Linked DNA regions of Rhinolophus ferrumequinum. The protein of the gene in region 1 interacts with the protein of each later gene in a pairwise test. Links are inferred from orthologs where the notes say so. Each region holds a gene or a part of one and is shown on either strand. Other genes may lie near its edges.

Evidence for each region.
Region 2: the proteins of MTUS2 (region 1) and PRKAA2 interact in binary tests that used the Homo sapiens proteins (3 or more experiments, as listed by UniProt). The link is inferred for Rhinolophus ferrumequinum from reciprocal best matches to the Homo sapiens genes MTUS2 and PRKAA2.

The regions. Positions count from the first base shown.
Region 1 is NC_046287.1:100,557,911-100,564,909, forward strand, and holds the start of MTUS2 (microtubule-associated tumor suppressor candidate 2), read left to right. Parts: upstream 1-3,932; 5' UTR 3,933-4,239; intron 4,240-6,999. UniProt on the Homo sapiens protein: Binds microtubules. Together with MAPRE1 may target the microtubule depolymerase KIF2C to the plus-end of microtubules. May regulate the dynamics of microtubules at their growing distal tip.
Region 2 is NC_046292.1:40,695,461-40,702,583, forward strand, and holds the start of PRKAA2 (5'-AMP-activated protein kinase catalytic subunit alpha-2), read left to right. Parts: upstream 1-4,065; 5' UTR 4,066-4,151; coding exon 4,152-4,245; intron 4,246-4,415; exon of another isoform or gene 4,416-4,551; intron 4,552-4,582; exon of another isoform or gene 4,583-4,718; intron 4,719-7,123. UniProt on the Homo sapiens protein: Catalytic subunit of AMP-activated protein kinase (AMPK), an energy sensor protein kinase that plays a key role in regulating cellular energy metabolism.

The DNA.
Region 1 (6,999 bases):
ATTCAGGTAGTTTTCGTCTAACATTTTCATGCAGCCTTTTCAGCACTTTTCACTAATAGTAAACTTGGTTAACTGTCCAGTGGGTACAAATTCCTAATGAATAACCCCTCTGATATCAAAAAAGTTAGCAACATCGTTGCAACAAGTCCTCGAACTTAATTGTCAGACCTTATACACATAGCAGAATAATGAGTGATGAAGAGTTAACTTTGTTTTTAATATAATATACATAAAATTATAAGTTTATATAATTTAATCTTCGATGATGGCTGTGTTTAACTACTGGCTGACAAAATTCCAAGACATTGAATAATTGGTGCCTGCAAGCTGCTGTGAACAGCCTCGGGCACACCAGTCTGTATGTGCTCCAGAGCTCCCCTGGTCTGGCTGAGGCTTTGTCGGACTTGAATTACAGTCTAGTTACTCCCTCTGTCTGATCCTGGCCTCCTTCTTCCCACAGTTTCTGACCCCTAGTAACATCCTGAGGTGTGGTAAACCCGTTGCTATCATCTGAATGTTTGTGCCCCCCCAGAATGTGTTGAAACCTACCCCCCAATGTGACAGTATTAGGAGGCGGGGCCTTTGGGAGGTGAGTAGGTCATGAGGGTAGAACCCCCATGTATGGATTAGTGCCCTTATGAAAGAGACCCCAGAGAACTCCCTTACGCTGTCCATCCTGAGGTTACAGTGAAAGGACGGCTGTCTAGAAAGCTGGCTCTTACCAGACACCAAATCTGTCAGCATCTTGACCTTAGACTTCCAGCCTCCAGAACTGTGAGAAATAAATGTCTGTTGTTTATAAGCCACCCAGTCTGTGGTATTTTCGTTACAGCAGCCCGAATGAACTAAGACACCAGTCCCCTGCCAAGTGTCATCATGACTTGCAAACACTGCCCTACCCTTTCTTCCTCTGTCTTTTTCCACGGACATTTCAGCAACTTGGAATTACACAGGGCAGATGCCTTTGACTACCTGTGTGCCCCTCAGTCTGGGAAGTCAGTGGGAATCTGTGATACCTGCTGTAGCAGACACTTTTGATGTCCTGTACCACATCTCCTTGGCTGCTCTTGGACCTCCTGCGAGCTGCAACTCAAGCTGATGATGCCCCTGAATCTCTCCCCCCCCCAATAAAAGGATGCTGCAGGGTCTTTTCTAAAACTCTGGGTGACTGGAATTTTGTGGGAGTTAAAGCCCCAAAGGCAGCTCCAATACACAGAGAATAGGAGCCAGATGGTCACTGCTCAGCCCCTGTCTTTGAAACGACAATTCTGGGAAGACTTTCTAAGCTTCTCAGAGATCCTGCTGTACTGAGCACCTGTTGTGAATAGCAGTGACCTTGATAACACATCTTTGTAGTGACTTTTCGTGCTTCCCTGTCTCAATCTTTCAATTTCATCACTACTGCTTCCTGGGCTCACCTACAATAAGAACCTCTCTGCATCCAACTCCTATTCAGCTTCCGCTTGGGTGGGTGGGCGGCTATACTGATCGTTTTTTCATTGTCCCCACAAAAGAACATTCTACTCTTATTTTCACAGTTTCTAAATACAAGCATAACCAAGTGTTAAAATGGGACTTGTCTTAGAATACCTGCTGGGAACATTAGATGACTGTGCCAGTTGGAGACCTTTGAGAGGCAGATGCCAAGAAGGGTTAGATGTGCAGAAGAAATGTTGAGAAAACACCTGTATGGGGTAGTGGAGGAGGGAGAAGGAGGTTGGCGTGTGGGTGAGGATTGCTTTCCAACTATGATACGGAGCTGACATCTGTGAAAGGATGGGAGGGAGGCTGGATAGACAGAGCTCCAGACTGCAGGGCTCGGGTGATGGGGAGTTCTGGAACAAACACCGCCCAGTAGAGGGGTCCTGCGCCAGGCAGAAACAGCCCAGCTCCAGCTCTCCCATCAGACTTAGCCATGGGCTGGGAACAGATGGCAGGATGTGTGACCTTGGTGTGAGCGCCATGCTGGATCCAAAGGTGTGCCAGCTGGAGGCTGTCACTTATACTCTTGAGATTTGAGTGGCATGCCTCCGTGGCTGCCACAGAAAGAGGTGTCTCCACATTTCAAATAGCGGCATTGGCCCACCTTTGTATGATATGCTGAGTAAGGGTTCTGCCGCCGTCAGCCCAAATTGAAGGAAAGGGGAGAGAGGTCAGGGAGAAGGCGGGCAGTGAGAATTATAGGGTGCTGTGAGGGAGAGCAGAGTATAACAGCTACTTCATGCAAAAGAACGTGTACTGCTTGGCATGTATCACCTGGGTTTGGGGACATGCATGAGTCCAGAGATGGCTGCCTGACTCCTACACGAGAAGCTTCAAGGAGAGAGGCTGGTCAGAGCTGCCTGTGACCAGGGAATGAGGACGGTATTCTGCTGTCACAGTGACCTGTACAGACATGGTGGAACATAGTGGGATCTGCCACAATGGTGACCTTGCAGAGGGTCTGTGTGAAGGGACTACTGGAGGAGAAAGCGGACTTGGAAGCGAGGACCAGGGCCTGGTGCAGGGGACAAGTCTCACCCTGCCACCCTGGAAGCATCAGTCTTCACAGGGCTAGCTGGGAGGATGTAGAACAAGAAAGGAAAAAGTGACGTTTCTCTTCCCCAGGCAGGCTCTGAGCTTGGGTCAGGATGGGAGCTGGTGGGTGTGGGAGCTGTCTGGGGAAGGCTTAAGTGGAATGGGACTGACGCTTTGATTTGAATTGGACTGGACTTTTTAATACCGGAGAATCAGACTGCTGATTAACACCTGAAAGTGACAGGAAAAGCTATGAAATCTGCCCTAGATTCTGCTAGAGGAGAAGGGAGATCTGATAGAATAATTTAAAAAGACAGTGGTGTGGAAAAAAAAGGTGCTGCTTCATGATTTCACCAAATAGTCCAGCTTGTTAATAAAATTAACTGGTATAAAATATTGCTTAACATGGTAGTTTGGAAAAATGACCCCACCTTAAAAAAACACCTAAATAGTGCAAAGACCAGCCCCAGCATTTCCTTTTCATAATGGTAGATGTCTATTCCCCTGCTGTGGGAACCAGAGGAAGCTGAAGCTCTCTGACCTCGCCTGCCTTTCCAAACCTTCTAGGAGCACTGCTTAGGGCAGCGGGGAGCATTTCACGCAGGACTGGAAGGGTCCTCGGGAAGTCATTAATATATTTATTCATCAGAGGTGTCAAGGTTCTCTAGAACCTCTCGAACAGAGTTAGGCACAGTTGGTGCTTGTTAAACACAGACATAAACCTGGTTCTAGAAAGAAACGCCTGCCTTTTCCGGAGACATTTCCAGAGATCAACTCTGGGCTCCTTGAGCACCGGGAATCCTCCCGCCCTCCAAGTTCTTCCCACTGCTGAATCCTAACTCATCCTGCTGCTCCTAATTCGAAGATGCTCCCTCTTCCTTCCCAAGAGGGTAACAGCAGATCCCACTGTGCGCAGCTCCCTGCCCTGTAGCCCCCGCCTCCTGTCTTACCCCTTGCTTCCCCTGAAGTCGCGGGTTCGCTCGGGGACCGCGATGTCGCTGGGCGCCCACGAGCCCGCGGGGAGATGGAGCAGATGGCGCGCGTACGGCGGCCGCGTGGCCGGCAGAGGGCGCTACGGCTCCCGGCGGCGGGGCTGCGGACCGCGGGGCCGGGAGGAGGCGTCCGGGGCCCCGCCGTGTGCGTCTCCCGGCGGCCGCGAGGGTGCGCGCCGCTGCCGTCCCCGCCGCCCTCCCGCGGGGGCCCGCTCGCCGCCCGGCGGCTGTCACCGCGGCCCGCACCTCACGAGCTGCGCGGGCTGCGCGGTGCGCTCCGGAGCCCGGGCTTCGCCGCCGCCGCTCCGCGGCTTCCCTTTGTCCGTCGGAGGCGGCCGCAGGGACAGCGCTGCAGCGGCCGGGAGGGCAGCGCCCCGGCGCCCCGTCGACGGCCCCCGTGCGCGTCCCCCGCTGCCCCGGCGCTCGGAGCGGGCGGCGGCCTGGGCGGGGCCTGCGCGACCGTGGGGACAGCGTTGACGAGCCGGCCCCAGGTGCGGGGGCGTCCCTTGCTCTCCACCTGCGCCACGTCTGCCGGCTTCTCTTGGCAAGTTTGTCGCCCCCCTTTGAGGACATCCTTTGCCGGTCAGTGGAGTCCCGACCTGTCGTTAAATAGAAAACTCGAGCTGGAGGAGGAAGAAGAGGAGGGAGCGTGTCGGAACCGGTCCGGGATGAGAGTCCATTAAAGCAGTGGTGGCTTCTTGGACACCTTTCTTGGCTCTTTCCCACCCAGGTGAGCGCATCCTTCAGCACTCAGGGCTGGGCTCTGGTCCTGCCTTCTGGAACCCGCGGGAAGACAGGTGCCGGCGTTGGGGAGTGATCGCAGCCGGGGCGGGCAGCGCAGCGTTTATTTGGCTTTTCTGTCATCGTGGCACTTATTCTGGCCTGCCACATTCCCTGCTGGGGCGGAGGTGTTGCAGCTCGTTTGGCACCTTCGCGTGCTGCCAGGTTAAACATCCTCGGTCTTGGAGGGGATGGTAGGTTAGTTAAACCGAGCCCCCTTCCCTGCCCCCAGCTTTGGGTAATTCTGTGTCTTCGTCTTAATTTAGTCTGTATTCTTTCCTTTGAGCTTTATAATGGTAAAGCAGCGAAGCGGTTTGCTACATCCATTTTCTCATTCGGAGCCTGTGCACAGAAGGAATTTCAGGCACACAAGCGATGTTACTACCATTCTATTTTAAATACAAACACGGCAAGAAGTACTCTTGGCAGGATACCAAAGGCGCCTGTACTCTCTGTTATGTAAGGGCTTGAAAAACATATTTGCTAATTGGTAAAGTTATAAATGGGATTATCAGAGCATCTAAGAAGGGAGGGTGAAGATAGGTGAGAACCATCATTTCTACTTTAAACCAAAACTTTACTTGAAGATAAGCATGATCTTAGCTTGAGACACCCTTTAAGATAGTATAGGGCCCTGTCTTTGAACTCATTAGGTAGAATTGTTAAACATTAAAAAATAAGGTAGGTTTTGTAAAGGCCATTAAGAAACTTGGTGAAAAATTTTTGACTACTTATCAATAGTAATAAAAAAGGATCCCACAGATATCCTTTATAGCTTTTAATCTATAGCACGAGTTTACTTTTATAGCTGATGGAAACTTAGTAATTATGAGCTGCCAGTTACTAAAGATCTCCTACCCCCAAACCTGCTATCATATTTATGGTTATTTTCAGGTAAGAAGACAAAAGTAGAAAGCATCAGATATACGGATGTCAGGCACCCCCTTTTGCGCCCTACCCCAGTATTTCATTCTAATTGGTTTTGGGTGATGCTGTGGCATTTGTAATGTTAAAAGCTCTGTTGGTTGTTGTCATGTGTAGCCAGGGGTGAGACCCATTGGCTAGCATTGTGTTTTAAAATTTGTCACTTTGTAGCCCCAGGTGTGGCTACAGTGGTTTAAAGTAAGTAAAACAAAAAAATAAATAAATAAGTGGTTAAAAATATGGGGAAGAGAAAAATGGTATTGGAAAGGACATGTGTTGAAGAATTATAGCATGTACACTTTTGTATTTTTGTCTAAGTATCTTTCTTGATTTTTTTTTTTTTTTTTAAACTGGCAAAGAGTAGTTGATGTTTATCAGAGACCCGTAATTTCGTGTTGAATATGTAGGGGCATCCTAAGTGGGACATTTCTTTGTGCACAGGTGACAGGGAAGTTGAGTAGCAGTGTCAGGCTGTCCCTTTATGTTTATATGAAAAGATGGCAAGTCTTATTAAAGATTGTTTTCTCCATCAAATTAAAAACGTATGTTAATAGAGACTAGTAAATTAAATGCAAAAAGCTTTGATTGTTTTTAAGGTCAGAAATAAACCTGGCTGCTGAATCAGTGTTTTCCATCTACCTTATGTAATTCCAGAGACTCCAGTCTGGGAGCAGATCTTATGGATGGTGTATGAAGGCTTATGTAAGAACTCCGACTTTGCTTTTCGTACTCCATTAAACTGGCTGTTTTGGCTATTGCATAATTGGCACAGTACTGGATTGTTAAAGCCCAGCCCAGCCCACGCACTTTTATAATGAATTGCTGCCATCAAATTAGAGGGAGCAGCGGGTGGAGGTTTGTGAAAGAGAGATAAGAATAGTATCTAGAGGACTGATGTAACATAAGACTGTTATGCTTAGCAGGTTTCTACAGATTTGAGTGCTGCGGTATAAACCTCTCTAGTCTTTTATATCTCCCAGCAGAGGTGGATTGGCTGGGAAGCTAATGAATCGTAAGCCACAGGCCCCCCCCTTAGGCTTCTTCCGAGCCCCTGGGAGGGCCACTAGCAATATGCTCACATGGTCATACCATGTGTATATTGATAATTTTGGATTCTTATTAAATGAGGACACTTTTCCCCACTCCACTCCCACCTCCCATTATCTAAATGTAAGGCCCCGTGCACCCTAAATCTGCCCTGTCTCCAAATTATGTTCAAATGTTAACTTACAAAAATGCTTTTCCTTATTTTAATGCCTGTAGTTTTAGGAAAAGACAAAATAAGAAATCTGGCCAGTACCGTAGTTGACCTGCTGAGAAAATGCAAATTGCTATAACCTAAGGCTGTGTAGAGCTCCTGAGATCAGGTGGTTACCTGGAGAAGCAGCTGTGCCTGGGATCTCACACAAATAGGGACTCTCTTGATCTGAGTGTGAGCTGGAGGCAGAACAGGGAAGGGAGGAAAGTGGGTTAAACCCCTTCCACATCTCAGAGGTGGACTGCCAGGGGAAGGGGGAGAAAATTACCCAAACATGCTTCATTAATACAAAGTTAACAGGAACAGATAGCATCAGCTCTATGGGAGATCTTTTTGTAACCTCCTTAGCATCTGTTTCTAATAGGAATTTTAAACAGTGAGCAAACTCAGGCCTGGAAAATATCTTGCAAGAAACAGATGCGGGTTGGGAAGGACTAGGATGAACAATCAACTTGTTCTTAATAGCAGTTTGTATGAGTAAATGGGAGCCGTATTATAGCCACCACAGGAATGTATCAGAGGGAGATG
Region 2 (7,123 bases), on another chromosome or scaffold:
CAAAGCAATTTGAAATGTGCAGGTAGATTGATGCGAAGGTAGATTGGTAAATGTTGACAATGTCGCTAATCATTGACATATTATCGTTCTTTGGTGTATGTTTACAGATTTTCATAATAGAAATAAAAAAGAAGTAATTATTTGGCTTGTATTACATATAAGATATCATCAACACACTTCATTAATCACTGAGTGTCTAGGTTTTTTTTTATGGTAGACTGGAGAACAATAACAGAAACACCTTATCATGAATCTATAAGGTCCAGTATGTTCTGGCTGATGCCTAACTCCAACCACACTAGTGACTCCTACCTACCCCAAGATGGAAAATTATGCTTTGTATTTAACAGTTATATGCATAAAATGAACTTATTAAGTTTGACTTCTTTTTAAAGTGCTCTTCCCTGTGTTCTTGTTCCTTAATTCCATAGGTTAATAACCATCTTCTTTATTTCAATTCAACAAATATTTCTGGAATGATGTACCAAGTTCCGTTGGGCCCTAGAAACAGCAGATGGAGTATGTTGTTTATATATACGTATATATATACATATATATAAAATATTAATTTAGACATGAAATATATATATATATATATAAAATAACAGAATCGATAGATGCTGTATTAGCGATATGAAAAAAGTGCTATGGGAATCCTGAAGCGAAATATGCAGTCAAAAAAATCAATCACTTTAGAGGAAGGACAGAATTATCTTTCTATTCTCTCTATAAAAAATGTTACAAAATATGAAGAGGCAATCAAAGAATATACAACCAAAAAATATAGAAAATAAGCATTATAAAGATATGTGGGATAGTTAATTTATATAGATTTTTTTTTTCTGAATTCGGGGATGTTTGTGTTGTCAGTTTAAAAATTATTTGTAGATAGTTTATTTCATTTCAAAGAAATATTTGCTTTCATGACCAATTTTGCATTTTTTTTCCCCATAAAGAGGACCCCCACATTGTATAAACATTAGATGTCACACAGCCCGAATCTACTCAGGTGCCTATAATTTATTTGTAAGGCACTGTTCTGGGAACTGAGGATAACAGCAGTGAACAAAATAGAGAAAAACACTCTCGTGAAGCTTACATTCTACTTGGGAGAGACAGACAAAACAAAAAAAACAGAGTAAACAAGTAAATAGTATGTTAGACAGAGCTGAGGAAGTTAAGGGGATGGAGAGTTCAGGGCAGGGAGTATGAGTGAGGTGAAACTGCAATAAATAGGACTGGTCAGAGCCGGTAGGCCTCACGCAGAAGGTGACCCTGAGAAGACTTGAAGGAACTGGTTGTTGATAATACCAGTGGAATGTAGTTTATTAGATTAGTGGTACTCCATTATTCTCCTATCCAGGCCTTGCTTTAGAATATTTGAAGTAAAGTAACCCCAAAGACCCAGTAGTAGGAGGGTAAAGCAGTAATAGTTGGAATAGGGTTAAGAAGTAAATAGCTGCCTGGTCCACTGAATCTCAGAGATTGGTACTAAATAACACATGGACACGAAAACATCATTGGAAAATAATAAAGTGGGGAATATTGTGCTTACCAGAACATCTTTAGGGAGTGAATCCTCAAGGGGCATGACTGTTAAGGAGATTTGGTCTGATTAACTGTCATACTGTATTGCTCTGTAGGGAGAGGCAAGGATGGAACCATATCTAAAATGTTCAGGGCACTAGAAGGCTGAGTGCTGCCAGACGTTGTCCTTTTCCACCCTTCTCACCCACTTAACATTCAACCTTTTCTCTAAAAGAGCTAAAGGTCAGGAAAAGAGCTAAAAATATAAATTTAAAGGGCATATTATTGGCCTGTCCTAGAAATAAAAAACAAAAAAATCAAAAAAACAAGAATGGGACTACAATTGTGAAGATTTTAAACTTACACGGAGCACCACGTTTTTATAGGCAGCTGTGGTATAGTAGAGGTAAAGGGTAGGTCAAAACTAGATGTGAGGTCTGACTCTGCCACTTAGCTGATTAGCCTTGGACAAATCAGAAAGGGAAAAACTAAGTTTTATTATCTATAAAATGGGGATAATCATAAGTTTCTTTTATGACAATTAAATGAGATACTTGTGTTTAAATGAACTTTTTAATCAACAAAGTATCATACATTTGTTTGACATAAAAATAAAGGTAGTTCATTGTAGCTAGGTAAGGATCATTGTTACGACATGTATAATAACGTAAGTTGTAATTATCAACAAATAGTTAAGACAGTGCAAAATGCCTTAAAATATCTATTTATAGTCTGTCTTCATGTAGCTTCAAGAAAACAATCTAATAGACTTTTCAACATCTTCTAACGGAATGTTAGCACAAGAGACAGACATACATCTTATATCGCAAAAACTGAAGAGGTATTTTGTTTTCTCATTCATCTGAATGAACACTGGAGGAGTGACCCTACCAAATGAAAGTTTAGTATCTAAAATAACTGGCTATTTTCTCCAAATTGCCAGCTAGGTAGAGTGATTCTTAATGATACTTCTTGTCAGCAAGAAAGATGATCGCAAGAATGAATAAAAATAGCCTCTGTTCAACAGCTGTGATATCTATAATTTATAAGCTGTGATCATTTCTCATCAGATTGTTTTGGTGTGTAAACAAGAATGATGTATGTGTGCCATTTGTGTATTTATCGTTTCTTAAAAAACCAATTTTTGTTACCTCGCATTCTTTCTGATCAATACGTTTCTCTCTTTACATATAAACAGTGTGGTAAGTGACTTCTTGTTTGAGGAATGTGACTTTGAAACTCTATTGTCATACACAATGTTTAAAATGTTCAACTAATCCTTACACATTATTATCAAGCAGCCAATATTTTTTCAGCACTGTTAAGATAGGCAACATTAAAGAATAGGACAAGAAAGGGAGGTAGGGAGGGAAGGATATATAATCACTTCATTACTAAATTCTTGTCAGTCTAGTTTCCTCTCACCATTTTTCCCCCCACTTCTATCTTTATCACATTTATTCTTTCATTAATTTGTGCATTTAAATTGCCCTTGCTTTCTTTAAAATTAAAGTTTATTGGGGTGACAACTGTTAGTAGAGTTACATAAACTTCAGGTTTACAATTCTATAATACATCATCTATATATCACATTGTGTGTCCACCACCCAGAGTCAGTTCTCTTTCCATCACCATGTACAGGAAATTGCCCTTGCTTTTAACAATTTCTCTTTGCCCCTATGTATTTTACTTTCTATGCTCACTGCATTCAGTTTCCCTTTTCATTTCTTTCACTGTTTCTGCACAGTTCCATCGCAAACTATTCGACGCTATGTATTAATATAAGCATGTGCTAAAACACAATTGAGCAAATATGCGGCTGTGATTTATTGGAGAATGTTGTGCAAATTAGAATTGAGAGCTCGGGAGGAGAGCGTCTCTTCCACCTATAGGAGAAAATAATCGAGAATTATAATATACGTGGCGGACGACTGAATGGAGCACAGATTTGAGTTCTCCATGTGCCGTGACCTGTATCTCAAACACTCAGCCTGAGCGACTTCCTTGAGGCTCCCTGACTGCTCCCGAATCAAGGCCTTTCCCGTCGCCTCCTACCCAACTTCCCTTCGACTCACGTAGTCGTTTCTACATCTCCTCTCTCCCCACTCTTTGGGTCTGTTTGTCTTTTTTAAAATTCTACTTCCAATCTCTTTCCATTCCCTAGGATTCGGCCCAAATCTCACCCTCACATTGTCCCTCCCTTCGGTGTTCCCCATAATGGGCCCCTATAGCCCACTCTCGCCCTCCAGCCTCTCCCCCAGGTAAAGGGGCGCGGTCCCCTGCACCCCGACCTCGCACACCTGTCATCCTCCGACCCCGCGCCCCCCGCTCGGGGACCCCTCCCTCGCTGGGCGCCCGGGTCCAGCCCCCACTGTCGCCGCCTGTCGCGGGGGCCCCGCGCATTCGCCCCCGCGCCCCGCCCGCCGCTCGCGGGCCTTCCCCACCTGGTCCCTGCCCCCCCGCCCGGCGCCCCCGGCCTCCCCGCGCCGCGGCCCCGGCCCTGCCCCCCGCCCCCACCGCGGGCCCGCTGCACTGTGGGTAAGCGGCGGCGGCGGCGGCGGCCGCACTCGGGAGCCCGCGGCGGCGGCGGCGGCGGCGGCGGAGCCCGGCTGCGCGCGCTGAACATGGCTGAGAAGCAGAAGCACGACGGGCGGGTGAAGATCGGCCACTACGTGCTGGGGGACACACTGGGCGTCGGCACCTTCGGCAAAGTGAAGAGTGAGTACGCGCCCGCGGCGCTGCGGCGGGCCGAGCTGCGGGGGCCCCGGAGCCCCGGAGCCCCGGGCCTGGCGGCAGGTGGGGCGGCCCCGGGCCGCGCGGAGCTGGGGGCCCCGGGAGGGCGGGGGGCAGCGCTGGGCTCCGCCTGGCCCCGCAGCGGCGGCTGGAGCCGGGCAGCGGGCGGGGGATCGGCGCCCGGGTTCTGGGGCCGGCGCCCAGCTGCCTGGCGGGTGTCGGGGAGCAAGGCGCTCCTGCCTCCCGGACCTCGGCGCCCTGTCCTCCGAAAGCGGGAGAGTGGGCTGCTCGGTAAGGCGCCCTCGGCTCTGAGACCGTATGGGTAGGGCTGGGGGATGACATCCGTCACTGATGATTTCCAGTTCCCGTGTCGTGCCAGGTGCCCTGTTCGGTGCTTGACGTGTGATTTCATTTAATCCTAACAGCAACTTGCTGAAGCTGTCATCCTCACCTCGAAGGTGAGAAAACGGGGACCCCTAGAGGTTTAGGACAGTGCCCAAGGTCACACAGAAATTGGCAGAACCAGGATGAAGTGCAAAATGTCTTCCAGTTCTGGCCAGGCTGGAGGTCCTTGCCATCCTGATTCTTTCGTGCTCCAAGACTCTGCGTTGGTGCGGCTGACTGTTTAGGGGATGTTTGGGGGCCGAGTGGTGGGTCGGTCTTTCTGCTGGGCGTGTGAACCGCTGGAATGCAGCTGGATTGGGCCGGGTTAATTACAACGGGCAAGTCTGAAGGTTGGTTGGCGTGTGTACAGTGGTTCTAGGAAGGCTTCTGGGATGAGGGGAGAAAAAAGTTTCCTTGGTGTCGGACCCAGTGAGGTGTGGGGCCGAGGAGGCCAGAACCGCTAAAGCGGATTCTGCTAAGGTCTGTTTTGTTGATGATGAGAGACCATTTTGGATGTAGAAAAACAGGCTGCTATCGGAATTTTTCCTCCATGCTAGTTAACTATTAAACTTTCCTTTTTGTTGTTGTTAACAGGAGTCACATGGGATTTAATTAATTTGTCCTCTTTCCAGAACTAGAACCAGCTTATTAAAAATACTTTGTTTGATTGTTGCAAATCCAGAATTATAAGTAGAATGTTGGCTGTTTAATTCTTTTTGCTTTGGATAGACAGTTTGGAGATTTTATTCTGAGACCTCTATTTCCTTTAAAATTCATATTTTCATCTTAAATCTATTCAATAGAAGAAACGTAGTGTTCATTCCTGTTGCCAGAATCAGCTCTTATTTCCTTACACATATCTGATACCCTTTCAGAAATACAGTTTGTTCAGAAAATACCGATTGAGCACCTCCAATGTGCTAGGCACTGCTGTAGAGAATAGGGATCCAGCAAGGAACAAATCCAGATTAAAATCCCTCCTTTGGTGGAGTTCATATTAGTAGGGGAAGACAATAATCACAGTGTATATGTAAAATGCATAGTATGTTTAGTGCTATTGAGAGAAATGAATCAGGGAAGGGAGGCTAGGGAGTTTTGTTTGGTTAGCAATTTTCAATAAGGTGTCAGGCAAGAACTCACAGACAAGGTGGGGTGTGTGTCCAGGCCTTAAAAGGTGGTAAAATTCTTTGAAGTCCCATGAGGGCTGTGAACTTTTGGGTTGTTTTGGAAAGACCTCATAAATAGAGTGGGTAGTGAGCATATGTTTTAAAATGAATATAGGAAGATCTAGGGATTGGATTGATGCCTGAAACATTACTTGTCATTAAACGGTATTGCTGAGGACTGTTGTGTTTCAGCATGATGCAATTACTCCATCAAATGGTGCATTTGCTATCTGGACATGTATGTACACTCTCAAAGTTAGATAACTTATCCTATGTCCTAAATTGTGTTAACATTTTTGTTTGTTTCTTTAAATTCTTCAACTGTAACATGAATATAGACTAAAACACCCATCACATCAATTGGCCCATTGTCAAGGGACAACTTAAATCTCTTTTGTATGTGTTACTCTTGAGCTGCTTCCAGGCACTGGCTTCTTAAAATATAAACAAACAGAAGGTGCTTTGATTTATGAGAAATCCTTTGCCTGGAGGACCCCTGTCCAATGAGCAACCATGCGGAGGGGTGTCCTAACACTATGTTAGAATCTCTCTAAAGTTAGATTGTGGTTTTTCCATCCACGATTCGAATTAGTACAATTGTTTGTTTAATACAAATTATAGAAGTTGCTACAATCTAAAGTTACTCATTTAATTCTTCAAGGGACAAGAAACAAAAGCACATGCATTTTTAAAAAGAACTTTGTTAGGTATATTGTACATATTATAACGTTAACTCATTCCAAGTGTACAATTCATTGATTTTTAGTAACTTGACCAAGTGGTGCAACCTTCATCATAGATCAATTTTCGAACATTTTTATCACCACAGTAGGATCACTTATGCCCATTTTTAGTTAATCCTCTTTCCTACCCTCAGCCCCAGAAAACTACTAATATGTTTTCTGTCGGTATAAATTTGCGTTCTCTGGACATTTCTTATAACTGGGATTATTCAATATGGAGTCTGTCATGTCTAGCTTCTTTAACAATGTTGTTGAGGTGCATGTACGACATAGCATGTGTTAGTAGCTTGTTCCTTTTTATTGCTGAATAATATTCCAGTGTGTGGGAAGGCCACATTCTGTCTACACATTCATTGATGGACATTGTTTTCAGTTTTGGGTTCTTACAAATAATGCCACCACAAACTCTACTTCACATCTAAGTCTCTGTGTGGACATACGCTTTTATGTGTCTTGGAGATATAACTAGGAATAGTTATATCCCAGGTCATATCATAGTTTTATGTTTAGCTTTTTGAGAAACTGCAAACTTTTCCAAAATGGTTGTACTTTTTTACAGTGCCACCCACA